4 linked regions of the Macaca fascicularis genome follow. The protein of the gene in region 2 purifies or fractionates together with the protein of the main gene of each other region. This does not show direct contact. Links are inferred from orthologs where the notes say so. Each region holds a gene or a part of one and is shown on either strand. Other genes may lie near its edges. The genes, in order: ORC5, LRWD1, ORC4 and ORC3.

Region 1 (7,391 bases), about 95 Mb from region 2:
CTTATCACCGAAATAAGAAACACTGGAGGAAAGCCAGATATTTCACTTTTTGTTGGCGGGTTGAAGCAGAGGTTAGAATTCCTAAGTTCGGTTTTGGAAATGTATTACTATAGCTGGGAAACAACAATAAAGGTCAAGAATATTGTACACTTGATCTTAGCCAAAAGGCCGAGAAGCGATGGGTCAAGAATATTATAAAAAATAGATCTAGTCTTTAAAAATAGGGACATTATTAATACACAGATGACTGTCGAAGTCACAGGTGTGGCTCAAGTTGCCTAGGGAAAAAAATGTAATATGAGAAAAGAGCCTAGGGCCAAGCCTCAAGGAACAGCTATATTTAAAGGTCAGGTGGTAAAGATAACCTTTGTTAGTAAGAACAACCAAAGAATAAAGAGGAACACCAGAATACTGTGGAATCATGTCTAAGAGAAGAGAGTTTTAAGAAAGACACAGTAGCCAACAGTGTTAGGTGCCACTGAGAGGACAAACAGCCGAGACTAACAGAGGTTCTGGGATAGTGGAGGAGATGGAATTCAGAGCATAGGTAAAAGAATCCACCTTAGGAAGAAGAAACCCATCCTGCTGAAAAAGGAAAGTAAGAGAAGATGGACACCAACACAGGTAGCTCAATTCTCAATTGAGGGTTTCAACTTTGTTCTGTGAAACAGAGTGAAGACTGAACAGAATGAACGCAGACATTAGAATTTGTGGTTTAAACAGAGTCAAGAATTTAGGTGGAGGCTGGGCGCGGTGGCTCATGCCTGTAATCCCAGCACTTTGGGAAGCTGATACAGGCAGATCAACTTGAGGTCAGGAGTTCAAGACCAGCCTGGCCAACATGGTGAAACTCTGTCTCTGCTAAAAATTAGCCAGGAATGGTGGTGTGTGCCTGTGATCCCAGCCACATGGGAGGCTGAAGCAGGAGAACTGCTTGAACCTGGGAGGCAGAGGTTGCAGTGAGCCAAGATCGCACCACTGTACTCCAGCCTGGGTGACAGAGCCAGACACTCCATCTAAAAAAAAAAGAAAAGAAAAAAAAAATTCAGGTAGAAAAGAAGTCTGGATACCAGGTGCCCTATCATTTCAATACATGAAGTGGAATGGCTGGGGAGACAAAAATCAGTCTTAAGGAGAATAGGGAAATAGAGCCAGGTTGCATGGGTCTCAAGGAAGTCCACATTTTTATAAGAAGTTGGGGGCAGTAACAGTCTGGAAGTGGCAACAGGAAGGATGGCACTGAAATGACCTCCAACCCTGAGGGATTAGGGTTTGAGAAAATACATAGCTACAACTAGAGATAAGTCCAGGGGAAGCAGCATCCCAAAGAAGGAATCAGGTTTTAGCTAAGGCAATGAGGAAGACTATTAGAAGAATGGGGCACATGGGAGGGAGGGAAAGAATGAAAGGTAAAGTTAGCAAAAACGAAGTACAAAACATGGGGATGAGAGAATGGAAGAGGGCAGGTGTGGGGAGGAGCGGGTGCTCATTCTACGGATATTGCCCATGGGAAGTAGAGAACAGTAAAGAAAACAAAAGAAAGTTACAGAGTCCCGAAGTTCTATGCCAAGATTCCAGGTCTAAAGTTCTTGCTTGCAAGGTGGTAAATGAAAGTGCATGTCTCTGAAAGTGTTGAGCATCCATCACTGTGATGCTCTGCACTAAAGGAATGTCAAATTAAGTCTGATTCAATGGAGATTCACTATATTAGGAACCCACAAACTTCTGTTTTGCATATGATTATGTTGGGGCACAACCTAACATTCAGAGTAATAATAAAATCCCTGAAATAAACAGGCTTCCCTCCAAATTTATGCCTTGGATAGAGGCTCTTAGATACAGAAGTTCCAATATAATTGCTTTTTAAAAGGAAGTAATTGCTTTGTGATCATACTTAACACACTAAAAAATAAGTTTCTGCTCAATTTTCTGTGTAAAAGTTTGCCTGGTTTTATTAAAATGAAACATTAAAACCCTTGACTTCATGTTTTAGAGCCTATATGCCACAAAAATGTGGTAAATACCTGCATCATATTATCACAGAACTCAAAAACATTTTTTTGTAGACGGGGGTCTCACTACGTTGTGGCTCATCTTGAACTTCTGGCCTCAAGCAATCCTCCGACCTAAGCCTCCCAAACTGTTGGGAATACAGGTGTGAGCCACTGCATCTGGCCATTCATTCACTAATTTATTATTTATTTATTTTTCAGAGCACTTTTAATTCAGAAGAGGCTTCAGGGAGAAGCTGCCAACCTATGGACTTCAGAATCTCAAGAAGCTGTAAAATTAATCATCAGAGGAGATCTGCAAATCTATACTGATATCAAGCACTGTTTTAGGCTGGAAAAAATAATGTCTCATGCCTATATACTGTTAATTTTGAAATATATGTAAATACTTTTATGACTAATTTTTAAAGGATGCTAAAATGGAATCTTCATATTCAAAAAGATTAGGAACACACTGTCTATGGAATGCCCTGTTCAACCTGCCAGTCTACACACTCATCACCTCTTCCATTACAATCCTGACAGATTGTTATCCAGCTGCAACCGTATGATGAAGTCACTTATTCATATAAATGGTTTGAACATTTTCCATAACACTAAGTACACTTCTTTGTAAGGAAACTTGTATTTTTAGACAGCTTTCATTTTGACAAATATACTTTCTTCCCCAGAACTTCCAACACTCTAGAATTACTCAGAATTAGTTTCATCCATTTTGCACATGACAGACCCCTGAAATACTTAAGACAGTTCACATGTCCTTCCTAAGGCTTTTCTCTCACACTCTGTCCTTCAGTCAGGGATGTGACACAATTCCTCATTCTACCACTCTCCTCGTGCCCCTTCAGCATGTATCCATTTGTCTCTCTGAAAACTCTAAACACAGCACAGCACACCAGATTTGATCTGCCTGTGACAACACACAATAGAATGATTATGTCCCCTGACCTAGACACTATATTTCTATCAGTGTTACCTAAGTCAGGATTTTTAAAGCCTTGTAGTCAGCTAAAAAATTTAGGACTTAAGTCAGCTTTCTCCCATCTTATTTCAATACAATAGAGTTTTCTGTAGCCAACTGTCCATTAAATCTTACCTTGCTACTATGGGATCATTTATTCCAGCCTATTAAGGTCTTTCAGAATCTTGATTTTTGTCCTCTAACATATTAGCTATTTCTCCCAATTATATGTCATTTGTAAATTTGAGAAAGTTCATTCTATAGTAGCGGTTATTCATTCTTGGCACTTAAATACATGATTTTTTTCATGTTTAAAAGTCATGACTAATGACATTACATTAGGAAAACACTAATTTTTATATTTAGTATCTCATTTACATAATTCAAGACATTTTACCTTGCAATAGCTCTGATGAAGTCTAGAGACACTGTGCATTTATATTTTGGTCCATCAAGCTGATCGTCATGGCCAACCAGGGTTAACAGCTGAAGGGTCACTAGAGAGGTAATCTAAAAGAGAACATTTTTATAAGAAACTGTTTTAATAAGATTATGTAATACTTTTGTTTCTGAAACATCTTATAGTCTGATAAAGATACATAACTGAATCACAAAAAAGTCTGCAAAGAAAATGACTACTTTGCAATCTGTAAACACAAATTTGTACATGTCTACTAGTCTGACAACTAGGACTAGTTGTCAGAGTCCTCGTTTTTTTATTTTTTTTATTTTTTAGAGATATGGTCTCGCTCTGTTACCCAGGCTACAGTGCCATGGCTTGATCACAGTTCATTGGAGTTTCAAATTCCTGGGCTCAAGTGGTGCTCTCAACTCAGCCTTCCCAAGTGGCTGGGACTACAGGCACATGCCCACCACACCTAATTTTTTTATTGTTTTGTAGAGACAGGGTCTCACTGTGTTATCCTGGCTGGTCTTGAACTCCTGGCTTTGTGATTCTCCTGCCTTGGCCTCCCAAAGGGTCAGTGATACAGGAGGGGAAGGCAGGGAAGTGCTGGGTAGAGAAGGGCGTGGTCCCTGGCTAGTGCTCCACCCCCAAGTCTGTGCCCACAGACCTAGGTAAGGACTGGCATTTCAGTTTTCATGCCTAAATGTTACATTTTCCAAGACCACCCTGGCTGGACGTTAAGAGGAATACACTGGCGGAAGAACACACAAGCGGCTGGACAGCGAGAGGAACATACCAGCAGACACCTGCAGATGCCAGCAGGCCATCTATGGTGGGACGACACAGAGTTTGGCCAAGAACGGCTAGACTTCAGGGGAAAACCACCTTCCCACTCTATCCCCCTTCGGGCTCCCCATCCATCTGCTGAGAGCTACTTCCACTATTCAATAAAACCTCACACTCATTCTCCAAGCCCACATTTGATCTGATTTTTCGGTACACCAAGGCAAGAACTCGGGATACAGAAAGCCCTCTCTCTGTCCGATACGGCAGAGGGTCTAATTGAGCTAACACAAGCCACCTACAGATGGCAAAACTAAAAGAGCACACTGTAACACACACCCACTGGGGCTTCAGGAGCTGTAAGCATTCATCCCTAGATGCTGCTGTGGGGTGGGAGCTCCACAACTTGTCCGTGAGCATGCTCCCATTAGAGGTTTGAGCAGCAGGACACTGAAGAGGCGAGCCACTACCCCTGCGAGGGGGACGAGGGAACTTTTCCTGCTTCACTGGGATTCCTGGTGTGAGTCACTGCACTCAGCCCAACCAAGAGTCCTAGTTTAACAACTGATTCAAACAATCAGTCCTTAAGAATTCTACTAGAGACAGCTTTGTTTCATTAGTGACTCAGACACATGACTGCCAAACCTTTAAAAGCTGCAAATAAAGCACATTCCTTCTCTAAACATTTTACAGAATTTCTATCTAAATAACTCAGAATACAAAATCTATACTCCTTTGGGAATAAAACAATTATAATATGGATTTAGGCCCTTTTAAGAGTTGGGTAGCTGGCTAGATAAAAGATAAGAAATACATCCTTCAGAACTGGGCTTAGTCTTGGTTTAAAACTTTCTTTCTTTCTTTTTTTTTTTTTTTTTCTGAGGCAGGGTCTCACTCCATTATCCATTCTGGATTGCAGTGGCACAATCATGGCTCACTGCAGCCTCAACCTCCCCAGACTCAAGTGATCCTCCCACAGCAGGCTCCTGAGTAGCTGGTACTATAGGCACATGCCACCACACCCAGCTAATTTTTTGTACTTGTTGTAGACATGGGGTTTTGCCATGTTGCCCAGGCTGCTCTTGAGCTCCTGGGCTCAAGTGATGCACCTACCTAGCCTCTAAAGTGTTGAGATTACAGACGTGAGCCACCGCACCCAACCATTGCTTTAAAACTTACTGCTGATCATGTACTCAGGAAAACACCAGAAGGATTATTAGTAAAAGCAAAAGTGTATTTTGATAGGTCAAAATTAAAGTACAAAATCACTTAACATTCATAAGGCCAACTAAAATATTAAGTTCTTTGAAATCTAAGAAAGGAAGCTGATCCAAGAACTGAAATTCTTTGAGTGCCCATTGTCTTCTCCTAATTTCTTATTTTTATCTCCCATAGGCCAGCAGGAAAAAGAGCCAGCAATGGCAGTAAGATAACATTTGGAGACTTAGTTACCTGTAACTGTTCAGTGGCAATATGAAGAAGAGTTTTAGGTTACGCATACCTAATCATATGTCTTAGGAATTAAAATGTTCACTTAATTTGGGACTAATACTTTACAGATGCTAAGTAAACATCCTATGAATAATAAAAACACTAATAGCAGTAGTAATTTGCTTGGTACTAAGTACTCTATACACACTATCTCATGTTATTCCTCATTACCCTCATGTCCACAAGGTGGACATTATTATACTTTTTTTTTTTTTTAAATAGATGAGCTTTAGAGATCTTAAGTAACTTTCCCCCTATTCCAGATCTACTGGCTTAGCAAGAATTCAAGAATCCATGATCATCTTATTATACTACATTTCCCATTACCATTTTGAAGGGAAAATTGTCATGCAGTATTCAGTCTGCGATTACTTTACTAACAAATCAAAGGGTGAACAGATAATAAATATATAGAGTATCTTATGTAGAGAAAATCCTATATTCAGTAAATATGAAACATTATTTCAACTGGAAAAGCAATTTATATTAATACATCAAAATACAAAGCTCTGCATTCAAAAGGCTAAGACTTTAATTTCTAATTCAGTATCAATAATTAGGTTACAACTTGAAATATCTTTTATAAATATTCTGTGTGTGTGTTGAAAAGAATATGTATTTTGCAACTGTTACGTGCTTTGTTACATGTCTATTGCTTTGTTACATATATGTCTATTACATAAGACACATATGTAACAGACATTATTTGTATGGTTAAATCTTACATTTTTAAAATCTGCCTGATCAAAACTGACACAGGTATTAAAATTCTTCCGTTATCACAGAATCTTTTTCTGCTTTGTATTTTTTAAGCTACGTTACTAGGTAACGTACATACAGATTTAAAATTACGTTTTGTTGACAAACCTTTTCATTATAATAACTCTTTTTTTCTCCAGTAATGTCTTAGCTTACGATGTATTTTTTTCTAATCTTAATATAGCTATATTAGCATTCCTTTATGTGCTCTGCCTTTTTCTTATGTGACTTTTCATGATTCTACATTCAAGGTTCATGTTTTCTCAATTTAAAACAGTTCTCATGTAAATAACATATAGTGGGATTTTGTTTTTATAGTCACTCTGACAACTTTTACCTTTCGTTAGGACCATACATAGACTCCATTTGTTTTTTTTTTTGTTTTTTTGTTTTTTTAGACAGAGTCTTGCTCTGTCGCCCGGGCTGTAGTGCAGTGGCCGGATCTCAGCTCACTGCAAGCTCCGCCTCCTGGGTTTACGCCATTCTCCTGCCTCAGCCTCCTGAGTAGCTGGGACTACAGGCGCCCGCCACCTCGCCCGGCTAGTTGTTTTTTTTTTTTATTTTTTAGTAGAGACGGGGTTTCACCGTGTTAGCCAGGATGGTCTCGATCTCCTGACCTCGTGATCCACCCGTCTCGGCCTCCCAAAGTGCTGGGATTACAGGCTTGAGCCACCGCGCCCGGCCCATTTGTTTTTAATATAGCTAACAATTTTCTAATTTTTTTTTTCTACCTTTATATTGACCTATTTGTCCTTCCTTTCCTTTTTCTCATTCCTTTCTTACCTTTTGTTGTAATTATATTTTCTTATCTCTTTTTACTTTTACTACTTTGTAAGTAGTTCTATAGTCCTTTTAATTCGAATGTCCATTTTGATTTCTTTTTTGGCTCTTCTGCTAGTTTGGAAGTCCTCCTTTATTTCCAACTTACAGAGTTTTTCCAGTTTTTTGTTTTGTTTTTGGAGGATCACAGAAGGTGAAG
Region 2 (8,148 bases):
CTGCCTGAGCCTCCCAAGTAGCTGGGACTACAGGCACGTGCCACCACGCCCAGCTAATTTTTTCTTGTATTTTAGTAAAGACAGGGTTTCACCATGTTGACCAGGATGATCTTGAACTCCTGACCTTGTGATTCTCCCGCCTCGGCCTCCCAAAGTGCTGCAATTACAGGCCTAAACCACCGAGCCCGGCCAATAATAAATTTTTAAAAAAGAGTTTCGCCAATGAAATATTTGCATTCATGGCACTAAACATTTTACATGGATTATCTAGTTTCATCCCTAGGACAGCCCCAAGAGGAAGGTACCATAACTATCATGGGCAGGAGGTGTAGACATGCGGAGGTTCTGGCCAGAGTCACCCAGTGAGGACCTCGGAGGCCACCAGACCTCAGCCCTGGGCTCTGTGGCCCATCTCCTCTTCCTCTCCCATCTCCAGGCTCCTCACACCCTGGGCTGCCACTCACTGTGGGCCGCTGTCTTTCTCTGTTCTTCCCTCCAGGGACCTCAGCCCCTTCTAATGCTTTGCTTCCAGCTCAGACACCTCCTGAGATCGGCACTATCTCCTCCCGCTCCTGGGGCCCTCCCATGGGAAACATTAAAATTGGGTGTCCCCCGTGTGTCGACTGAGCAGGCTGGACTTGTCCCAAAGGCCATGGAGCGCTCTTGAAGGGTTTTAAAGGAGTGACGAGGTCAAATGTGAATTTTAGAACGATCTGGAGAGGGGGAGGGGCAGCTATGAAGGGGTGGAGGCTGGAAAGTCAGTGAGGAACTGCCCCAGTGCCCTGAGATCCTGGACACCTCATTTTCCTTGTTCCACATCCATCGTGTTGGGAAGGTGTTACCTTCACATGGCCACTGGCGCGGGTCAGACTTTCCGCAATTTCTTTTCTTTTCATTTCTTTTTTTTTTTGTTTGAGGCAGGGTCTTACTCTGCCACTCAGGCTGGAGTGTAGTGGCGCTCACAGCTCGCTGCAGCCTTGACCTCCTGGGCTCAGGCAATTCCCCCACCTCAGCCTTCCACGTAACTGGGACTACAAGCACACGCCACCGCACCTAGCTAATTTTTAAATTTTTTGTAGAGGCAAGGTCTTGCTATGTTGTCCAAGCTGGTCTCAAACTCCTGGACTCAGGCGATCCTCCTGCCTCAGCCTCCCAAAGGGCTGGGATTCTAGGCATGAGCCACCACACCTGGCCCCTTCCACAAATTAAAACTTTTTTTTTTTTTTTTTTTTTTTTGACGCGGAGTCTTGCTCTGTGCCCCAGGCTGGAGTGCAGTGGCGCGATCTCGGCTCACTGCAAGCTCCGCTCCCCCGGGTTCACGCCATTCTCCTGCCTCAGCCTCCCGAGTAGCTGGGACTACAGGCGCCCGCCACCTCGCCCGGCTAATTTTCTTGTATTTTTAGTAGAGACGGGGTTTCACCGTGTTAGCCAGGATGGTCTCGATCTCTTGACCTCATGATCCGCCCGTCTCGGCCTCCCAAAGTGCTGGGATTACAGGCTTGAGCCACCACGCCCGGCCCACAAATTAAAACTCTTAAGTTCATTCATATTGTTGCACAGCCGTTACCACCATTCAGAACTTTTTCATCTTGCAAAACTGAAACTCTTTCCCCATTAAACAACAGATCCCCATCTCCGCTTCCTGAGCCCCTGGCAACAACCCTTCTACTTTCTGTCCTTGTGACTACCCTACATAGCTCACACAACAGGAATCCTGCAGTACTTGTCTTCTGTGACTGCTTCCTTAACTTAGCCTCATGTCCTCAAGGTTCATCCATGCTGTAACATATGTCAAAATGTCCTTTTTTTTTTGAGACAGGGTCTCGCTATGTTGCCAGAGTGCAGCAGTGGCATGATCATAGCTCACTGCAGCCTTGACCTCCCAGACTCAAGCAACCCTCCCATCTCAGCCTCCTGGGTAGCTGGGACCACAGGTGCGTATCACCATGCATGGCTAATTCTGTGTAGAGGTGGGGTTTCACCATGTTGCCCATGCTGGTCTCAAATTCCTGGGCTCAGGCGATCCACCTGCCTCGGTCTCCCAAAGTGCTGGAATTAGAGGCGTGAGCCACTGTGCCTGGCCTGTCCTTCCTTTTTAAGGCTGAATAGTATTCCACTGTGTGTATACACCACGTTTTCTGCATCAGTTCATCTCTCTCTCTTTTTTTTTTTTTTTTAAGGAGTCTTGCCCTGTCACCCGAGCTGGAGTGCAGTGATGCGATCTCGGCTCACTGCAACCTCTGCCTCCTGGGTTCAAGTGATTCTCCTGCCTCAGCCTCCCGTGTAGCTGGGATTACAGATGTGCCTCACTAAGCCCGGCAAGTTTTTGTAACTTTAGTAGAGGCAGGGTTTCGCCATGTTAGCCAGGCAGGTCTTAAACTCCTGACCTCAGGTGATCTGCCCACCTCAGCCTCCCAAAGTGCTGGGATAACAGGCAAGAGCCACGACACCCGGCCCAACTCATTTCTTGATAGATACTTGGTTTGCTTCCATCTTTGGGCTGTCGTGAATAATGCTGCTATGAACATTGGTATGCAAATATCTCTTCCAGACCCTGCTTTTAGTTCCTTTGGATATATACCCAGAAGCAGGACTGCGGATCATGGGTAATTCTATGTTTAATTCATGAGGCATGCCATACGGATTCCACAGGACCTTGGGCACTTCTACTATGGATGATGGGGCAGTTTCTTCACTGGCTTCCCAGCCTCTACAACTTCATATCTGCCCCTTCCCTTCCCAGGATCTTTCTAAAATGCACATTTGACTTCACTCCTTTAAAACCCTTCAAGAGCTTTCCATGGCCTTTGGGACAAGTCCAGCCTGCTCAGCTGATGCGCAGGGAACCATCTGTGGTCAGACACCACCCGCCCCCCGCTGCCCCCACCAACCTCTCCGGCCTCATCTCTCTCACCTGAGCCATCACCACTCCACCTTCCTACCCCACGCAGTTTTCTGGGCTGGAATGCCCTTGCAACCAACCACAATCCTTCCATGCCAGCCCAAAGGCGCTGAGTTCTTTTTCTTTTTTTATTTATTTTCTTTTCATGAGGCAGGGTCTCGCTCTGTCGCCCAGGCTGAAGTGAGGTGGCTCAATCATAGCTCACTGCAGCCTCCAACTCCTGGGTTGCAGCGATCCTTGAGTTCCTCTTCATTAGTTAACTGGAATTCACTGTCTCCTTGCCCATTGCAGTCCACGGCCTTCAGGCACCGCTGGACTGGTATTCAGCACCCTCGATCGACCCTTTCCGTGTCATCTCCTCGCGGGCCTGTGAAGCTCCCAGCGCCAGACCCGAGAGGCTACGTCGAGGTTTGCAGGCAGATCCCCCCAGAGTCCCCGAGGTTACCTGTGATCGCACCCACCCACATTCCAGCCCCTTCCCCACTCCCAAGCCCGCTCCTTAAAGCCCTCATCTCCTCAGCCCGCATCGCTCCTACCGCAAGGGTCCCTCACAGGCTTTGATCCCGGCCCGTATCATGGCCAAGCTGGGCCTCAGTTTCCCCAGATGCAGAGCGACGTCTGTGGACGAGGCCCCTACCCCTTACCGCTGGGGGCAGTTCCCAGGGCGGGTCGCCGCCACGCTGCCGCTCGCAGATCAGACAGGTCCGGATGCCCTTACAACCACATTCCCGAAGGACCTCGGGGGTCTCGGCGGCGGCAGCCGCCATCGCGCCGTCCGGGTGGCCAGTGCGCAGGCGCGGCCGTGAGTGGCCGCTGGGAGTTGTAGTCCGCGCGAGGCGGGGGCACGAGGCCTAGGTTCCGCTTCCTTCCGGTCGTTAACGCCCACGGGCTCGCGCGGCGCCACCTCCTGGGCTCCGTTACCGCGGACGCCAGTACCGGGCTCCAGGAGACGCAGGGGGACGCCAGACGCCGGGGCCGCCGACTGGGTCGGCGCGGGCCGCGCCTCCTCGCCATGGGCCCCCTCTCGGCGCGGCTGCTGATGCAGCGCGGGCGCCCCAAGAGCGACCGGCTGGGGAAGATCCGGAGCCTAGAGTAAGAGGCGGGCAGGGGGCGAGGCTGTGTCCGCGGGGCCGGGGGTCGGAGGGAAGAGCGGGGACCCTCCCCAACGGCCTGCCTGTCCCCGTTATCGCCCTCTGGGTTCGGCAGAGTCGCTCCAAATGTCTTCTTGTTGGGAGATCGTGGCCCTACCCGTTCGCCGCGAGTCCCGAGGGGCCTCATCCCCTGAAGGGAGCCCGGAGAGTTAGGGGCACAGCGTGCAGCTACCATTAGAGGGCCTGGGAAGCACACAGGAGCCCCCGAAGGATCAGGAAGAGCATCCTAGAGGGGGCTAGGATGCCCCTCAGTCCTAAAGTAGTTGCAGTTTTTTTTTTTTTTTTTAAGTGGTGGGGAGTCGGGAGTAGTGGCGCGCGCTTCTAGTCCCACCTACTCGAGAGGCTGAGGCGGGAGGATCCCTCAGCCCAGGAGATGGAGGCAGCAGTGAGCTGTGATCACGCCTAGGCGACTGAGTGACGCCCCGTCTCTAAAAATAAAGTAACGAGGGGGTGGGGCGGGGCGGCTGCACTTGTGAGAGAAATGTCAGGTGAAAAAGCCTTCTGAGATAGCTGGGGCAGATTGGTGTGGGGTGCAAAGCCTGCCCGCCCCCTAAGCCTTCTGCCCCCAACTCCAGCCTGTCAGGGTTGGAGCTGCTCTCCGAGCACTTGGACCCCAAGCTCCTGTGCCGCCTGACGCAGCTGCAGGAGCTGGACCTATCTAACAACCAGCTGGAGACGCTGCCGGACAACCTGGGCCTGTCCCACCTGCGTGTCCTCCGCTGCGCCAACAACCAGCTGGGGGATGTCACTGCCTTGTGCCAGTTCCCCAAGCTCGAGGAACTCAGCCTGGAGGGGAACCCCTTCCTGACGGTAAGTGGGGGCCTCCCACCAGCCTCATACTGGGGGCCAGGACTCTATTGGGCTCAGGCTCAGCATCTCCTGAGCCACTGCCGTTCACCCCCTCTTCCCCAGGTCAATGACAACCTGAAAGTCTCCTTTCTCCTGCCCACACTCCGTAAGGTCAATGGCAAGGATGCGTCCTCAACTTACTCTCAGGTGGAGAACCTGAATCGGGAGCTGACCAGCAGGGTAAGGGGATGAGAGGATTATTGTGTGCTTGGGAGCTATAGGCGGCATTAGGAAAGTGATGGAATTGGACATCAGGAGGATGCGAGGAGGGTGACTGATAGGGGCTCTTTGCCCTAACAGCCCCTAGCCTGATGTGCTTTTTTTTTTTGGAGATGGAGTCTCACTGCATCACCCAGACTGGAGTGCAGTGGTGCGATCTTGGTTCACTGCAACCTCTGCCTCCCAGGTTCAAGTGATTTTCCTGCCTCAGCCTCCCAAGTAACTAGGATTACAAACACCTGCCACCACGTCCAGCTAATTTTTTGTATTTTTAGTAGAGACAGGGTTTCACCATGTTGGCCAGGCTGGTCTCAAACTCCTGACCTTAGGTGATCTGCCCGCCTTGGCCTCCCAAAGTGCTGGGATTACCGGTGTGAGTCCCCGCACCCGGCCTGACTCTTATAAGTAGCTCTTTCTGGGTTTTTACTTTCCTTTTTTTTTTTTTTGTTTTTAGAGACAGGGTCTCACTCTGCTGCCCATGTTGAAGTGCAGTGGTGTGATAATAGCTCACTGCAGCATCCAACTCCTGGGCTCAAGCAATCTTCCTGCCTTAGCCTCCGCAATAGCTGGGGCTTTAGGCACATGTCTGGATCATTTTAAAATTTTTTGTAGAGGTGGGATCTTGCCATATACCCCAGGCTCCAACTCCTGGCCTCAAGCGATGCTTCTTCCTCAGCCTCCCAGTGGCTGGGACTACAGGTCCCTGGGCTGTTTCGGGGTGGGGTGGGGGTGGGGTGTGTGTGTGTGTGTCTGTGTGTGTGGTTTATGAGGCTGTGATTCCAGGAGGCTTCCAGCAGGTGGCAGGATGGAGGGCTGGGTCCGGAGGAGCTGGGGTGGGCCGGGCCTGGATCTGCTCCCTCTTGCACCAGGTCACAGCTCACTGGGAGAAGTTCATGGCCACACTGGGCCCTGAAGAGGAGGCTGAGAAGGCCCAGGCAGACTTTGTGAAGTCAGCTGTCAGGGATGTCCGCTACGGGCCTGAGTCCCTCAGCGAGTTCACCCAGTGGCGGGTACGTCCCTGTCCCGATGTGCAGGGAATCACTGGCTCTCGTATCCCTAGTTGCCTGGAGGTCCCTGGGTGTGAAGGGCTGAGGGGCTGTGGGAGTGGGGTGAGTCAGGGTGGGTAGCCCTGTTGACTGGAGAGGCCCTTCCCCAACTCTGGAAGCACAGGCTCCCCCTGACTATGCGTTGGCAGGGCTGGGGGCGCCTGGGACTGTGCCCAGCTTCCTGATGGCCTGGCCCCACCCAGGTGCGGATGATCTCTGAGGAGCTGGTGGCCTCCAGTAGGACCCAGGTGCACGAGGCTGACAGCCCAGAGAAGCCCCCAGAAGCTGGAGCTGCCCACAAGCCCAGGGTGAGTGCAGCTCCTAGGGCTCTGAGGCTGGCCCAGCCCCTCCTGCCTGGAGAAGCTGCAGGAGACCAAGGTGACCTGGGCATGGGCCCAGGAAGCACCCCAGGCCCTGACTCGCTCCCTAGACGACCCTGGGCCAGCCTGGGCCTCCTACACCCACAGTGAGGTGGGGTCCAGCCTGTGATGGGCAGGAAGGAAGCCCCTGGCAGATGGGCCCATGGTCACAAGGCCCCCTCCACAGGCCAGACTGGCGGCCTTGAAACGGCCAGACGATGTCCCACTCAACCTCTCTCCCAGCAAGCGGGCGTGTGCCTCCCCGTCGGCCCAGGTGGAGGGTGGCCCTGTGGCAGGCTCCGATGGCAGCCAGGTGAGCTGAGGTGGCAAGGAGCAGGTGGCAGATGAGTTGGGGCTGGGCAGCCGTGACCTTCCTCTCCCCACACAGCCTGCCCTGAAGCTGGAGCCCCTGCACTTCCTGCAGTGCCACAGCAAGAACAACAGCCCTCAGGACCTCGAGACCCAGCTGTGGGCCTGTGCCTTCGAGCCAGCCTGGGAGGAGGGTACATGGTGGCGGGCAGGCGGGGCAAGGGCTGCTGGAAATGGGGCCGCCTGGATGGGTGGGGGATCAGGAGACAGAGCTTAAAAGGCACCATCAAGTCTGGGAGGAGGAGGCTGCAGGGAGGACTTGGATGGGAAGTGTCTCTGCTCATCTGACCTCTCAAAACCGGGCACTCAGGGGCCACATCCCAGACCGTGGCCACGTGCGGCGGGGAGGCCGTGTGTGTGATTGACTGCCAGACAGGCATCGTGCTCCACAAGTACAAGGCGCCCGGCGAGGTGAGTGCAGGGCAGGGGTGCCCAACTGACTCCTGCATAGCAGCATGGGGATGGGTGCAGGCTTGGCCCCCTGCCCAGTGGCCTTTTTCTTTCATGCTGGGGCTCCCTCCCCCAGGCCCGGACCTGCCCGGGTGTTCACACCAATAGCTCTGCCCCAGTGACTGTTTCCTCTAACCCCCGCCCAGGAGTTCTTTTCTGTGGCCTGGACCGCCCTGATGGTGGTCACACAGGCCGGCCACAAGAAGCGCTGGAGTGTGCTGGCAGCCGCAGGCCTGCGGGGCCTGGTCCGGCTACTGCACGTGCGTGCCGGCTTCTGCTGCGGGGTCATTCGGGCCCACAAGAAGGCCATCGCCACCCTGTGCTTCAGCCCTGCACATGAGACCCACCTCTTCAGTAAGCCCCTCCCCTTCACCCCTGGGACCCCCAAGCACCCCTGTCCTGCTGCCCCAGTGGCCTCCGCGCTCTCCTCCCTGGGATGGCTGGGAGCTCAGGTGCCTGCCGGGCCCCAGGCTGCACTGCTCCCACTCTAGCTTTGGCAGGAAGCCATGGCACTTCAACCCTGGCTTTATCCACAGCCTGCTCTGTGGCCTTGGAGTTTCCCAACAGTTTGGGCCACTCTGTCCCCTGTCAGTGACCTGGGGGGATGCTCCTGCCCCCAGGTGTGGTGCCCCCTGGCAAGGGAGATGGATGAGCTACAGGAGATGGCTGCTGGAGCCACCGCATCAGGTTACAGCGAGGAGACAGGGATTGTAGGCCCAGGAGTGTTCTGTCTCCTAGCCTCGGCCCTCCCTCCCTGCCTCGGTGACCGCGGGCTCAGCCTCATATGCAGCCAGCAGGAGGGA
Region 3 (7,644 bases), on a different chromosome or scaffold from region 2:
GTCCTCAGGACAGGCAGGCAGATTTCAGTCCCACAGCAGGTCCTGAAACAACCCTGAATCTTGGCATAAGCCCCACTCAGCTATGGTCAGAAAGCGGTTCTGCCTACCCAGCATCCTGGAGGGAGATGGGGCTGTCCATAGCCCTGCCAACAGGCCACCTGACCCAGGTCCCTCATCAGTCCCTGAAACACCCCTTAAAAGTAGCTCCAGCCCCTCTCAGTACAGCTTGAGAGCAGGCCCACCAACCTAAGGACCTGAAGGGAGGCATGCAGGTTCATGACACCTTAGACAGGCCTGAAGACCTAAGTCTTGACTGTAGGCCCTGAAGCAACCCTGTGACTTAGTTCCAGCCCTACGCAGCTGGGGACTATGGCAGTAGTGCCTGCTCAGGTTATCCACTCAGTGATCCAGTAGGAGCCCTCCCAGGTTCCCAGAGAAAGCCACACCATCCACACACCTGGTAACAGGTCTTTTCTCTGCATATCTTCATCCCCTGTACAGACCAATGTCCTAGAAAAAGTCCAGTCCACCACCAGATAGGTTTCATATCCTGCTACAGCCCCTGGTAACAAGGTCCTATCAGGCTTTAGCTAAGCCCTCAGGAGGACAGGGCCCTTTCCAAGTCTGAAGCCTGGACCACAGTTGGGGAATGAAGATCTGCCCTCAAATTGACTTTCCCAGGTCTTGGGCCCCACTGGGGTTTCACAGACGCCTGCCTGCATCTCAAGGCTAACACAAAGACACTTTTGTCCGTGGGTGGCTGTGAAATTATTGTTGCTATTTGGGAACACAAGCTGAAGGGCCTCCTATTTCATCTTGCTGCCGTCATTCTCACATTATTATAATGTTAATCATTGGTGATTTGATGATAGGTCAGCTTTTCTTGAGTTTTATGAGTTCTGGCAGTAAAAAAGTTCCAAAATGTCTTTCACTGGGCAAAATTCAGGGTGTCAGCAAAGCTGTGTTCCTTCTGGAGACTAGATGAGACCAGAATACAGTTTTTTAAAAAAGCTGTTAACTTGGTTGGATCCAAATCCTGGCTCTTCCATTTACATACTGTTTGATTTTGGTCAACATAGTTAGCCTATCTGTGTCTTCTAACCTTGAAAGAGGATTATAATAGTAGTTATCCCATAGGGTAGTTTTGAGGATTAAATGAGTTGATAAATGCAAATTATTTGTAACAATTCCTGATACCTAAGTAAACACTGCTTAAGCTGTTACTGTCTAACTGTTAAAGTAGTCCTATAGGAAATCAGTGCTAAGAAAATTAGGTCTTTTAGTCAAAGGTATTTGTCTATGAGTATGGTAACTTGAGGAGAATTTTACAAGAATTATACATTTTTCATTAATTTTTTTTCATTCCATTTATTCATTGCCAACTTTGTTTTGAGCATTATGCTACAATGCTTGGAATATAAAAAAATCTCAATTTGGAAACACTAGCAAATAAACAGATAATTTTGTTCAAAATAATTAAATAATAAAGAGAAATACAAGCACTTATAAGTAATTAAAGAAGAGGCATTTAACCTAGTCTGTAATGATTATTTGTGTATGGTTGGTGAGTGGAGCAAGAAAGGAAGGTTTTCTATGAGGGATGATCCTGTGGGATGGATGGGTGGGAGAATCATAAAGGAAGCATATAAGTTAAAGAAAAAGGAAGAAAGGGAAGGTGAATAGAAGATTTAATGGAAACGGAGGAGTAGCTGTTAAGAACCACATACAGGCCTGGAGGTATTATTACAGGTTCAGTTCCAGACCATTGCGGTGAAGCAAATATCACAATAAAGTAAATCACCCAAAACTTTTCTCAGTACATATAAAATGTATATTTACAGTATACTAGTCCATTAAGTGTGCAGTAGTATTATGTCTAAAAAATGTACATACCTTAATTTTAAAATACCTTATTGCTGAAAAATGCTGACAGACACAAAATGGGGACATGGTGTTTGAAAAATGGTACCTATCGACTTGTTGGACACAGAGTTGTTCTAAACCTTCAGTTTACTTAAAAAAATGCACTGTCTGCAAAGCACAATAAAACCAAGTGTACCTAAAGTATGGTATGAGAGTGTTGAATAATCCTGTACTTGGACAAAATGAAGCCATCGAAGATTTTGAAGGTCTTAGGGTTTGAGCATTTTTTACTTTTAAAAACTTGTATTTAATTCTAGAACAGTATATTCTTAGGTATTATCTCTTCAAGTCACTATGTTTATAATATTTATGCCAATTTTTTTAAGGATTTGAATTTGTTGAAATGAGCAGTCGTAAATCAAAGAGTAACAGCTTAATTCACGCAGAGTGCCTTTCACAGGTTAGTATGTATTTTCATTAATCTCAAGACCTTTTACCCTATAAAAGTGTTGAGAGAAATAGTTATCTTCTTAACTTGAATTTTCACTTTAGCGTATAAGAAGAATCACTCTTTCTAACCTTAAGGAGATGTCAGTACAAGACCTTGAGATATCAGTACAAGGTCGTAAGAACAATCATCTGGAAGCAAAATTTTCCAGACTCTGTAAAAATTAAATGTGGACCAACAGATTTTCTTGTTGTTATGATTGTTCTCTATCCTTTTTGTCAGTTCATATATTTTTTTAATATTAGTGTTTTATACTATAATTTAATTTTATCCTTATTAAGTCCGGGTAGTCAGAATTCTAGCTTTTCCTTTTTCTTTCTAATCTAGATACCTTTTTTTTCTCCCCTTTTCTTGCTTAATTGCCCTGGCTTGAACAAATGCTGAATAGGAATGGAAATAATGGACATTCTTGTCTTTGTTTTCATCTTAGAGAGACAGCATTCAGTCTTTCACTATTATATATGATGTTAGCTGTAGGATTTTTTTTTAGATGCCCTTTATTAAGTTGAGGAAGTTCCGTTAATGTTCCTCGTCTATCGAGTGTTTTTATAATGAATGTTATCAGACGTGCATACTGTATTCCAAGTGCTGAACATCTATCTGTATATCTCTTCCTTAAGAAGCTTATAGTCTAGTAGGGAAATGAGCATGGTATTTCTACGTTTGTATGTATCTAGCTTGACCTGAACTACATGTAGTTTTTAAATAAAAATTAAATGTTACTGGTATTCCTTCATAAGACTTGGCTTTCTTTTTGAAGGAAGTTGTTTAACTCTATTTCTAAAAAAAAAAAAATTTAACTGAAATATGCTTTACGTACCTTTGTATGTAAAGTGCACGAATCCTCCATGTACAGCTGAATTAATTTCAATACATGTATATACCTGTTTAACTTCCATGCCAGATCACTTTGGGATTTGTGAACCTTCTAACTAGTCACTGCAGCTTTATCTAGCTTATGTTTTACACCCCATTACTGCCTCTAAGAGATTTTAATGAAGTTTTGGTTTTTTGTTTTGTTTTGTTTTGTTTTTAAGGAAGGGATTGAGTTTTTTCTTTTGATCTCATCTAGGTAGAGGAATACACTAGTTGAGTACATATATATGTTCTTTTATGTATTTTTATAGATATTAGCTATTACCTGTACAAAGCCTATTTGTGTTACAGATAATTGCCTTTTGCCTTTTTAAATTTTTTTTTTTTTTTTTTTTTTTTTTTTGAGACCAAGTCTTGCTCTGTTGCCCTAGCTGGAGTGCAGTGGTACAATCTCAGCTTACTGCAACCTCCGCCTCCTGAGTTCAAGCAATTCTCCTGCCTCAGCCTCCCAAGTAGCTGGTATTACAGGCATCTGCCACGTCTGGCTAATTTTTGAATATTTAGTAGAGAAGGTATTTCAACCATGTTGGCCAGGCTGGTCTTGAACTCCTAACCTCAAGCGATCCACCCATCTCGACCTCCCAAAGTGTTGGGATTTACAGATGTGAGCCACCGCGGCCACCCCACTTTTTTAATCTTTAAAACAGGCCTGCAACAAGGTGTTATTGTCCCTATTTTATAGATAAAGAAATTAAAATTTAGAACAGACTTAACCTTTTAAAATTCATATAGTAGCCTCTTCTGGTACCAGTGTCCTTACTCTTTAACTTCCTCTATAATGAACAAGTATGTATCATTTTGTCCCTAGTGAATCATTTTCTTTGCTTAGCCTCTGTACATGGAACAAGAACTCAGATTTATTTCTTTGATACATGAAGGATTAGTTCCATGCCATCAGTCTAGGAGAAGCAAATATTTTTGGAGGTTTTTTATTCCAGTTCATGGGGCCAAATCTGAGATAGCACCCTAAGGTTGTCCTTGAAAGACCTCTGTATTAGCTGCAGATCCAAAAAGGAATGACTTTAATGGTCCATCTTTTTAAAGAGTATGGTAGATTATCTGACATAATTTTTCATGACTAAGTCTAAGGCCCTTTTTCTAAGGTGAACTCAAAATACAGCTCCTTATAAGAATTTTTTTCTGAACTCATTCACATGCATTGAAACAGCCCTTGAGTTGCTAACATAACTAAAGTCAGTGATTCTCCCTTTTTTGAAACCTTCACAACTAAATTCTCATTCTTCCTGTGGGACTTGAGATAGATAAGAACACCATTAATTTTTTAACTTATGGTGCCATAACTCTAGAGGATAAGAATTTAGGGAGGGTTGAATTGATTCATTAATAACTAATTCTGGCTATTGTAAATGTGCTTTCTTACTCATTTTTTATTGCATGTGTAATATTTTTTTTTTTTCGCACCATGCATGTGTAATATTTTTATATTTATTCACTTTATTTTCATCAGGTACAAAGAATTTTACGTGAAAGATTTTGTCATCAGAGTCCACATAGTAACCTATTTGGAGTGCAAGTACAATACAAGTAAGTCTAGCTGTCCTTTTGACTGTTACGGACCAACTTACAGATGCCTTCCAGGTCTTGCAAAAATTATGTAACAAGTTTGATATTAAATAAACCTAACAAACACTTTTATAGAAGTAAAAAATTTTGCTTTGTGAATAGAAACACCACATAGCGTGAAGCAGAAGCAGATACAAATATTTCCATAATGCAATAGCACTTTAACATTCAATCTTGTTTTGTTTATGTTATCTAATACTGTGGAGAGAATTCTAACCATCTTGCCCTTAATACCCAGCAGCCAACTATGGAGTGAAATTTCAGAGTATTAGTAGGAAAAGAGATTTGAATCCAAGAGTCCTGAGAGTTGCCACTGTTGTCCCCACGATCATACAAATCAATATATTCCAATCTGATACATTTTCACCTGAAGATTTCAGAGTCTATACTACCCTCCTATTTCTTTTGTATTTTTCTGTTTAGGACCATTCAGAGGCTAGGCCAAGTGCCCAGAGGGAGAGAAGAGAGGAAATTTCTATGCATATTCAAATATGCCTTTTAAAAAACTACAACCTAACAAAGTATTCCAGCTTCATTTTTAAAATTTTGTCCTATTTATATCATTTTAGACACATAAGTGAGCTGCTAAAAAGGACCGCTCTCCATGGAGAGAGTAACTCTGTCCTCATTATCGGACCCCGAGGATCAGGAAAAACTATGGTAAAAGCTGTTCATTTCTGGTGTTTGTTGGCGTATGATGATTCTTATTTTATATAATACTGAAAATATTTTTCATTTCATTATTTTGTAACATTTTACTTTTTTTAATCATAGAAGATATGTAAAACTTTATAAAGTTAGGGTGGTATATTTGAGTGTAGCAGACCTTTTTTCCCCTTATTTGTCCTCCTAGTGACAAATTGTCACTTGATGTTTGTTCCAACATGGTCTTTTGTCCTTGAAGAAGTAGAGATTTCCAGTGGAAAAAGAAAATAGCATTTATTGAGCATGTACTATGTGTCTTTTTATTATGTTCTCTCACTTATTCTTTACATCAATGCTGCAAGGTAGGGTTTTTCCCTTTGTTATAGGTTAGAGAACTATCATATCATGCATTCTTTTTATTTTTCCTACATTATTACTATTTATTGTTTAACCCTAATTTACGTAGTTTTACATAAGATGCATGTTCACATCTTATATCATTCTTGTCTCCTTTTCCTCTTTATTGTATTTCCTTAGTTACCTCAAAAAGATATTCTTACTTATTTCCCCTTGCTCTTTTCTTTCATATCCTTTATGCAATATAGGAGACAAATTATGGGTGTTAACTTTTGAAAGTAATTAATTTCAATGCTAAGTAGTCTGTGTAAAATCTGTTCTCATGTATTATATACAATAAATTTAAATTTTTTACTAATGTACTTTAAAAAATGGATAAGTAAAATTTTTTTAACATTTTAAGCAATATATATTGAAATTTATTATGATGAATATGTTAGGATTTTACTGTTATCACTCATCTCAAGTATTGTTTAAAGTATGTAAATTGAGAATTTAGATCTAGGTAATTTCTTTTAATAGTTCACAAATTTTCACATTTATAATCATATTTACAGTAAGTTTTAGGTTTCAAATCTATGTTTAATTTGTTTTAGTCCTCATACTCAGCTTCTATAAATCACTATTTCTTTATTCTTGAGTTTTTTATTATGGTTTTTCTTTGCATTTGAATTCACTATTATTTTGGGTGGTTTTCACAAGAGAACTATGTGAAATGTTTTTAAATTTCAAATTTTTAAATTTAAGAAACTTTTTAACCATTCTAATAGGTGTAGATTGGTGTCTCATTGTACTTGTAATTCTCTAAATGACATGCTGTTGAGCATCTTTTCATACACTTCTTTTTCATCTGTATATGTTTGGTGAGGTGTCTTATGTCCATTTTTAATTTGGGTTGTTTTCTTATTGATAGGTTTTAAGAGTCCTTTATATTTCTGATTTTCAGTTTTGTTTTGCAAGTATTTTCTTACAGTTTGTGGCTTTTCTTTTCATACTATTAATATTAACATTGTCTTTGGCAGAGCAGAAGATTTTATTTTTATTTTTGAGACAGGATCTTGCTATGTCTTTCATACTATTGCTATGTCAAAGTCAAGCATACTATTGCTTGTCAAACATACTATTTTGCTATGTATACATACAAAACATACTATTTGCTATGTCAAACATACTTTTAACAGTATGTTTGGTAGAGTAGTTTTTATTTATTTGTTTTACTTATTTACTTAGAAGATAGTGCAGTGGCATGATCACAGCTCACTGTAGCCTCGGCCTCTTGGGTACCATCTCAGCCTCCTGAGTACCTGGGGCTACAAGCATGCACCATCACACCTGATGTGTTTTTTAATTTTGTTTAGAGACAAGCTCTCCCTATGTTTCCCAGGCTGGTCCTGAACTCCTGAGCTCAAGCAATCCTGCCTCAGCTTTCCAAAGTGCTGGGATTACAGACAGGAGCCACTGTGCCCAACTGAAGTCTTTGATCTTAGTAATCTAATTTGTCAGTTTTTTCTATCATGAGTTACGATTTTGGTGTTATGTCTGAAGCTTCATCACCAAACCGAAGGTCATCTAGATTTTTTCCTATGTATCTTCTACAAGCTTTATAGTTGTGCATTTTATATCTAGGTCTGTGATTCATTTTGAGTTAATTTTTGTGAAAGGTGTAAGGTCTGTGTTTAGATTATTATTATTATTATTTTTTGGAAATGAATGCCGAATTGGAGAAAGACTGTCTTTTATCCGTTGAATTGCCTTTGCTTCTTTGTCAAAGATCAGCTACTATGTTTATGTGGGTGTATTTTTAGGTTCTC
Region 4 (7,644 bases), on a different chromosome or scaffold from region 2:
GTGGCACATACCTGTAATTCCAGCTACTTAGGAGGCTGAGGCAGGAGAATCACCTGAACTTGGGAGACGAAGGATGCCGTTAGCCGAGATTGAGCTGCTGCATTCCAGCCTGGACGACAGAGCAAGATTCTCAAAAAAAAAAAAGTTTTCAAGTGCACCTCCCAGTAATTTGTTTGAAAGAGGAATTGTGCAAAATATCTTCCCTGACAAATATAATGCATGCCTTTGGATAGCTATTGTTAATGGATATCTCATTTATATAGTATATTTTCTTGGTTTCTGTCATTAATCATTTTTTTAAATGTTTTTACTTGTGAGTGCTTGATATGTTCAATAGCTTTTGTCATTAAATTATTATTAATAAAAATGGTGATATAATATTGATGTATTATCTCATAGGTGTGAATGTCACAGATCATGATTTAACATTCAGAAGTCTAACAGAGGCCCTTCAGAATAATGTCACACCATATGTAGTCTCATTGCAAGCTAAAGATTGTCCAGGTAAAATATAAATGCCATAATAACCTTGGTGAGATGCTACAGACTTGTTTCATCCTTTTCTCTCTTTTTCAGGCTTTCTTTATTCCTTTTTATTGGTGGAAAGAGCACAGTGCTATGTTTTGGGCAGGGTTAGGCTTGGGGCCTCTCAGAGTAATTGTGACTATTATAGAACTCTGCCTCCTTTTGCTGTCTTTATTCTGGACTCATTTCTGCCCTATCAGCTTAACTGCCGGTAGCAGTCCAGGCATTTTGCGAGATGCGTTCTTTAACCCAGTGAAACGTTTAATAAGTAGAAAGACTTAGGGCGGAAAGCTGAGAATTGGGGAATGAGGAGCTCTTGTTCATCTCAAAAGAGAGTAGACATGTGGGCTCATGTTTCAGCCATAAATCATCTTACTGTCCCGCTTTGAAAAGCCACCATGGTAAAAAATAGTCCATTGACAGAGCTAATCCTGAGCATGTGAACCCATGAAATCATAAAGAGTGTTCACACTCCTTTTTTTTTTTTTTTTTTGGAGACAGGGTGTCACTGTGTTGCCTAGGCTGTACTACAGTAGCATGATCATAGCTCAGTGCAGCCCTGAACTCCTGGCCTCAAGCAATTCTCCCACCTCAGCTTCCCTGGTACCTAGGACTACAGGTGCATGCCATTATGCTCAGCTACATTGTGGGGTTGTTGTTTATAGAGATTGGGTCTTGCTATGTTGTCCAGACTGGTCTGGAACTCCTGGGCTCAAGCAGTCCTGCCTCGGCTTCCCACAGTGCTGGGATTACATCTTGAGTCACCATGCCTGGCCATAATGTAGTAAAATTTGTTTGGATTTAGATTGATAAAAGAGATTTATGTGCTTATATTGCTTTCATATTTATAAACTGATTGAAATTAAGTAAAAGTCCTTAAGGGCATCTTTAAAAATGGCTATATGAAAGATTTATAATCAGTAAAATAATTCATATGACACTTGATTTTTCTTAGGGACCTTGAAAACTTTATTTTTCTGTGTTATTTAAATACATATTCCTAAAATTTATAGTTTGCTTGTCTACACATTTGTTTATGTGACCTTTTTATTATAGATAATATACATAAGTGGCCAGGAGTGGTGGTTCATGCCTGTAATCCCAGCACTTTGGGAGGCCGAGGCAGGCAGATCATGAGGTGAGGAGTTCGAGATCAGCCTGGCCAACATGGTGAAACCCTGTCTCTACTAAAAAATACAAAAATTAGCTGGGCATGGTGGCATGTGCCTGTAATCTCAGCTAGTGGGGAGGCTTGAGGCAGGAGAATCGCTTGAACCTGGGAGGTGGAGGTTGCAGTGAACCGAGATCCCGCCACTGTACTCCAGCCTAGGCGACAGAGTGAGACTACATCTCAAAAAAAAAAAAAAAAAAATTATAATATGCATAAGCTTTGGTCTAGTCTTAGTCTGAATTAATGCAGGTACTAATGAGCATCAATAGTTAATGTTAAATGTTATATTAGCTATATTGATGGTAAGTATAAAAAAACACATTCTACCAAAAAAGAGTAATATACTGATCAAGAAGTTTCAAGAGCTTTGGTTTTATTTATGGAAGAGGCAGAGATAAGCTTTCTTACTTTTTATATTCCACAGATATGAAACATTTTTTGCAAAAGTTGGTCTCACAGTTGATGGACTGCTGTGTAGATATAAAATCCAAAGAGGAGGAAAGTGTTCAGGTCACCCAAAGAAAAACACATTATTCAATGGATTCACTTTCCAGTTGGTATATGACTGTCACACAGGTAGATATAAACTGACGATTTTCTCCCCCAAGGAAACTGACATATGATTGATGTGGCTTGGAATAATATTAGACATAGTCCTGTTTTGATCTAACAAGGATATGCTTCTGCAGCACTAGGTATTAATTTAAAAGTAGCTATTTTTCTAATGCTACTCAAATTTTAAAATCTTTTTTACTAGTATGTAGCCTAATTCCTGGTAAGTGCTTAGGTTTTTACAAGGACATATTTGTGGGAGAATGTCCTCTAATGACAAAAACAGAGCATCAGGAATTGCCTCTGTTGCAGGTTCCATCTCTGTGACAATAACTATAACTTTAATATATTATCTCTTGGGTTCCTCAGTGTTTGCTTTATCCGATAGAACCATGCTGCTAGTATCCACTGTCAACTTAGTTCAATGAAGAGTAATCATGGATTTTCTAAAATCTAATTTGTTTTATGTTTAGAGTTCTTAGGGAATCAGCGCTCTTTAAGTAAAGTATGTTCAACAAACAGATAAATAAAAAGAAGTTCCATTCTACCATGACAGTCTGGTGAAAAAGAATAACCTAGGTTAACACTAGGTAACTGCGTCCTAAAACCATAGTCTTAGGTTATGGTGCTATGTACCCAGACAGTATAGGAAAAAAAAATACTGTGGTTACATTTTCCAATCAACATTTTTGCTGAAATCATCATAAGTGAAGTTTCATTTTGCCTTATATAGGGACTCAACTATGTCTAATACTTAACCAGAATACCTTATTTGCTCCACAATTTTGGACTTTCCAGAAATCAAATGCTACTTTCAGTTTGTGTCAGATATCTTTTTAAAAATTGAGATTGGACCAGATGATACCTAGTATCCATTTCAGGCTTGAAATTTCACGGTGGCAAAGTAGCAAGTACTACTATTCATTATGTTTTTTTCATTAAAAATACTAGTTCTCACTGTAAAGCAAAGCAGAATATAACTTTCTACCAATCGAAAAATCAATTTTGTAGAAAATTTTCTCTTCTTCCATGTTTTTTTCTGTCATTTCCTTAGCAGAAAATATAAATATTTCATATGAATTATAGAGTTTTACTGAACCTTTTTCTTCTTGGTTATTATTCCCATGTCAGACACAGAAAGATTCTAGTAACCTGAGTTTCTATTTATCATGTGGTAGGAAAAAAAACAGTGTTACTGTGAAATTTAAAGAGAGATATGTCAACATGTGGCATTATAACATTGTTTGGGTGGTAAGGCTTACCTTTAACTCTTTCTTTCTGCAATGGTTTAAAAGAAGACAGACCCAAAAATGCCAAGCAAAAAGAGGACTACTTCTAGTCAATGGCTGTCTCCTCCTGTTGTGGTTATCTTGAAGGATATGGAAAGCTTTGCTACAAAAGTACTACAAGACTTCATAATCATCAGCAGGTAGATGGTATATCGCCTGCTTTTATGAAAAATTCCCTTTTTAAGAAAATATTACTTTTAACTTGAAAAGTATAATCTTCATTTTAATACCAACTAGATAAAAATCAAAGTATTCAAATTCTTTATAATTGAATATTCAAAGACCTCCTATCAGATTTTCCATTTGCTTTTTGAGCCAAGAATGAGAATCAAAGGCACATTTAGCCAGTTTTAAAAAGACATGGTAAGACAGTGTTAAATATGGTTTATCTCACCAAGATTGACTGTCTGTTACTCACCCATTAAGTAGGTAAACTAGTCCAGTTGAGGTTTTTGTTTTTGTTTTTTTCTTTTTTTTGAGATGGAGTTTCGCTCTGTCACCCAGGCTGGAGTGCAGTGGTACGATCTCGGCTCACTGCAGCCTCCACCTCCTGGGTTCAAGTGATTCTCCTGCCTCAGCCTTCTGAGTAGCTGGGATTACAGGTACCCACCACCACACCTGGCTAATTTTTGTATTTTTAGTAGAAACAGACTTTCACCATGTTGGCGAGGCTGGTCTCGTACTCCTGACCTCAGGTGATCTGCCTGCCTCAGCCTCCCAAAGTGCTGGGATTACAGGAGTGAGCCACCGTGCCTGGCCAAGTTGCGAGGTTTATTAGGTCTTATTTTCTGATACCCATCCATCCTTAGATGCTGTGAGTTACATACAGTTTTACTAAGCAAAAGTGTCTTCTAAATAACATGATCTTACATTTATGTAATATTTCTAGTGAGAAACTATTTTCATGATTGCATTGCATCTTCAAAACAATCATGTGAGACTCAGAATTGAAATTGAACCCTAATTTTAAAATCCAGTGACACGCATTTTCTGTGGTGTATTTTTTAGGGTGGAATTTATTTTGGCCTCTTCTATATGTCAACTTGCTTTAATAGTTATAGCTACATTTGACTAAAGCTATATATTTTGTTGAATAATTTACTAGTATACTTTATTTTATTTTTATTTTATTTTGGAGACGGAGTCTCACTCTATCCCCCAGGCTGGAGGGCAGTGGCGGGTTCTCGACTCCCTGCCACCTCTGCCTCCCGGGTTCAAGCAATTCTCATGCTTCAGCCTCCTGAGTAGCTGGGATTACAGGTGCCCGCTGCCCTGCCTAGCTAATTTTTGTATTTTTAGTAGAGACAGCGTTTCACCATGTTAGCCAGGCTGGTCTCAAACTCCTGACCTCAGGTGATCCACCTTCTTTGGCCTCCCAAAGTGCTAGGATTACAGACATGAGCCACCACACCCGGCTAATTTACTAATGTACTTTAAATTCCTACTTTGATAGGATCTTTTTTCCCTCATTGATTCTAAGAGTTCTAGATCCTAGGAGTTCCTTTTTTTTTTTTTTTTTTTTGAGATGGTCTGGCTCTGTCACCCAGGCTAGAGTGCAGTGACATGATGTCAGCTCAGTGCAACCTCCACCTCCTGGACTCATACAGTCCTCCCTTCTTAGCTCCCCAAGTAGCTAGGACTACAGGCACATGCCGCCATGCCCGGCTAATTTTTGTATTTTTTGTAGAGATGGGGTTTTGCCGTGTTGCCCAGGCTGGTCTCAAACTCCTGGCCTCAAGAGATCTGCCTGCCTCAGTCTCCCAAAATGCTGGGATTACAGGCATGAACCATCGCACCCAGCCCAGATCCTAGGACTTTTCTTAATGCTAACACTGAACTGCTTAGCATGCTGGGAAAGTACACAGTACAAAATAGTGACAGAAAAGCTCTGCTTTTTTGGAGCTTAGACTTAATGACTACCTTAGCCATCAAAAGTGAGGAAGACTATAGATAGAGCTCAGACTTTGAATGAGAGATTAAATTGAATGGTATCTAACACCTCTTCTAACACTTAAGATTGTATAATCTTCAGCCCAGGCACCGTGGCTCACGCCTGTAATCCCAGTGCTTTGGGAGGCAGAAGTGGGTGGATCACATGAGGTCAGGAGTTTGAGACCAGCCTGACCAATATGGTGAAACCCCATCTCCACTAAAATTAAAAAATTAGCCAGGCATGGTGGCACGCGCCTGTAGTCCCAGCTACTCGGGTGGCTGAGGCCGGAGAATTGCTTGAACCCAGGAGGCGGAGGTTGTAGTGAGCCGAGATTGCACCACTGCACTCCAGTCTGGGTGACAGAGCGGGACTCCATCTCAAAAAAAAAAAAAGAAAAAAGATTGTATAATCTTCGGGAAAACTTTCTGGACCACTCTGTTCTTATTTATAAAATGAGAGGATTTATTAAGAGATTGAATTCAGAGCTAGACTGTCTGGAAAGTAATTATTTTTCTGTTTAAAAGAAGAAAGTGAAAGACTTAGAAAATTTTAGTGTTTGCAGTGATAATCCTTAATAGTGTCTTATAAAGTAAGCATTAAAATAAAGTTTGTCTTATCTTGAAATATGATGTATTGAAATACATTTGCTAAATAAATTTCACTTTCGTGTCTTTCTTTCAAAACTAGTCATCATCTCCATGAATTTCCACTAATACTCATTTTTGGAATTGCCACATCTCCTATTATCATCCACCGATTGCTTCCTCATGCAGTATCATCTCTATTGTGCATAGAACTGTTCCAATCTTTGTCTTGTAAGGAGCACCTGACTACGGTACTCGATAAGGTAAAAAGAATAAGTTTTACCAGTGAAATAGGATGAAAAGAAAACTGCCAATAATAGCTTGTTAAGATAACTCTTAATGATAAGCCCCTACAACTCTGAGTACTATATTGAACATATTCTTTCACATACTTTAATATTTTTACTTAATAATTTTTGTAGTGTTTTATAGTTTTACAGTGATTTTGTATATTACCTCTTTTGTACTTATCTTTTTATCTTTACTCAGTAAAAAATTATAGGTTTATAATGTAAATTTTTACAGAATTTGTAGACTTCCTAGTAACAATATATTTTGATTCTTACATTTTAGTTTTTCTAATTTTTATTTTTTTGAGAAGGCACCTAGCTCTGTCACCTAGGCTGGAGTGTGGTGGTGCGAGCTTGGCTCACTGCAACCTCCGCCTCCCAGGTTCAAGTGATTCTCCTGCCTCAGCATCCTGAGTAGCTGGGACAACATGTGGTGCGCCACCACGCCTGGCTAATTTGTATTTTTAGTAGACACAGGGTACCATATTGGCCAGGCTGGTCTGGAACTCCTGACCTCAAGTGATCTACCCACCTTGGCCTCCCAAAGTGCTGGGATTACAGGCATGAGCCACCACACCCAGCCTGACTCTTACATTTTGTATAAAATGATTTGAAATTTTTAATGGACTGTTTCCTAACTGATTTGTCATGCTGCTCATGACAACAAATAAATACAAACATTTTCCTAGACCTTAGCAACTAAAGTTAATTAACTGTGTTTCTACATAAATGCAAGTATGATTCTTTAATATTGACTGTATTAGTCTGTTCTCACGCTGCTGATAAAGATACACCTGAGACTGGGCAATTTACAAAAGAAAGAGGTTTAATGGACTCATAGTTCCACTTGGCTGGGGAGACCTCACAATCATGGTGGAAGGCAAGGAGGAGCAAGTCACATCGTACATGGATGGCAGCAGGCAAAGAGAGAGAGCTTGTGCAGGGGAACTCCTCTTTATAAAACCATCAGATTTTGTAAGACTTATTCACTGTCATGAGAATGGCATGGAAAGGACTTTTCCCCATGATTCAGTTACCTCCCACCAGGTCCCTCCCACAGCACTTGGGAATTCAAGATGAGATTTGGTTGTGGACACAGCCAAACCATATCATTGACCTTCCCCAAATTTCTTCTGGACTCACCTCCTTTAAGATGTGCTTTATGCTGCTTATTTAAGGTAAACTAATAACAGCCTGCCCACTAGCCACTTATACATGGATTTTGTTTTTTTGGTTTTTTCCATAAAGGTGATCTATAGACACTTTAAGGAGAATTTTTTTCAAACTACAATTTTTAAAT

Evidence for each region.
Region 1: the proteins of LRWD1 (region 2) and ORC5 purify together in Homo sapiens (affinity purification with mass spectrometry; 4 studies listed by BioGRID and IntAct, with this or other methods). This does not show direct contact. The link is inferred for Macaca fascicularis from reciprocal best matches to the Homo sapiens genes LRWD1 and ORC5.
Region 3: the proteins of LRWD1 (region 2) and ORC4 purify together in Homo sapiens (affinity purification with mass spectrometry; 3 studies listed by BioGRID and IntAct, with this or other methods). This does not show direct contact. The link is inferred for Macaca fascicularis from reciprocal best matches to the Homo sapiens genes LRWD1 and ORC4.
Region 4: the proteins of LRWD1 (region 2) and ORC3 purify together in Homo sapiens (affinity purification with mass spectrometry; 4 studies listed by BioGRID and IntAct, with this or other methods). This does not show direct contact. The link is inferred for Macaca fascicularis from reciprocal best matches to the Homo sapiens genes LRWD1 and ORC3.

Annotation. Positions count from the first base shown.
Region 1 is NC_088377.1:145,659,640-145,667,030, forward strand, and holds part of ORC5 (origin recognition complex subunit 5), read right to left. Parts: intron 3,484-7,391; coding exon 3,371-3,483; intron 1,017-3,370; coding exon 869-1,016; 3' UTR 1-868. UniProt on the Homo sapiens protein: Component of the origin recognition complex (ORC) that binds origins of replication. DNA-binding is ATP-dependent. The specific DNA sequences that define origins of replication have not been identified yet.
Region 2 is NC_088377.1:51,095,447-51,103,594, forward strand, and holds the start of LRWD1 (leucine-rich repeat and WD repeat-containing protein 1), read left to right. Parts: upstream 1-3,772; 5' UTR 3,773-3,914; coding exon 3,915-3,994; intron 3,995-4,342; exon of another isoform or gene 4,343-4,492; intron 4,493-4,628; coding exon 4,629-4,863; intron 4,864-4,965; coding exon 4,966-5,082; intron 5,083-5,990; coding exon 5,991-6,131; intron 6,132-6,370; coding exon 6,371-6,475; intron 6,476-6,713; coding exon 6,714-6,839; intron 6,840-6,914; coding exon 6,915-7,029; intron 7,030-7,205; coding exon 7,206-7,306; intron 7,307-7,491; coding exon 7,492-7,699; intron 7,700-7,965; exon of another isoform or gene 7,966-8,148. Other genes in the region: ALKBH4 (alpha-ketoglutarate-dependent dioxygenase alkB homolog 4), read right to left, coding at 3,547-3,669. UniProt on the Homo sapiens protein: Required for G1/S transition. Recruits and stabilizes the origin recognition complex (ORC) onto chromatin during G1 to establish pre-replication complex (preRC) and to heterochromatic sites in post-replicated cells.
Region 3 is NC_088386.1:43,518,326-43,525,969, reverse strand, and holds part of ORC4 (origin recognition complex subunit 4), read left to right. Parts: intron 1-2,249; coding exon 2,250-2,323; intron 2,324-4,715; coding exon 4,716-4,792; intron 4,793-5,400; coding exon 5,401-5,491; intron 5,492-7,644. UniProt on the Homo sapiens protein: Component of the origin recognition complex (ORC) that binds origins of replication. DNA-binding is ATP-dependent. The specific DNA sequences that define origins of replication have not been identified yet.
Region 4 is NC_088378.1:87,718,554-87,726,197, reverse strand, and holds part of ORC3 (origin recognition complex subunit 3), read left to right. Parts: intron 1-399; coding exon 400-504; intron 505-2,120; coding exon 2,121-2,272; intron 2,273-3,543; coding exon 3,544-3,677; intron 3,678-6,157; coding exon 6,158-6,317; intron 6,318-7,644. UniProt on the Homo sapiens protein: Component of the origin recognition complex (ORC) that binds origins of replication. DNA-binding is ATP-dependent. The specific DNA sequences that define origins of replication have not been identified yet.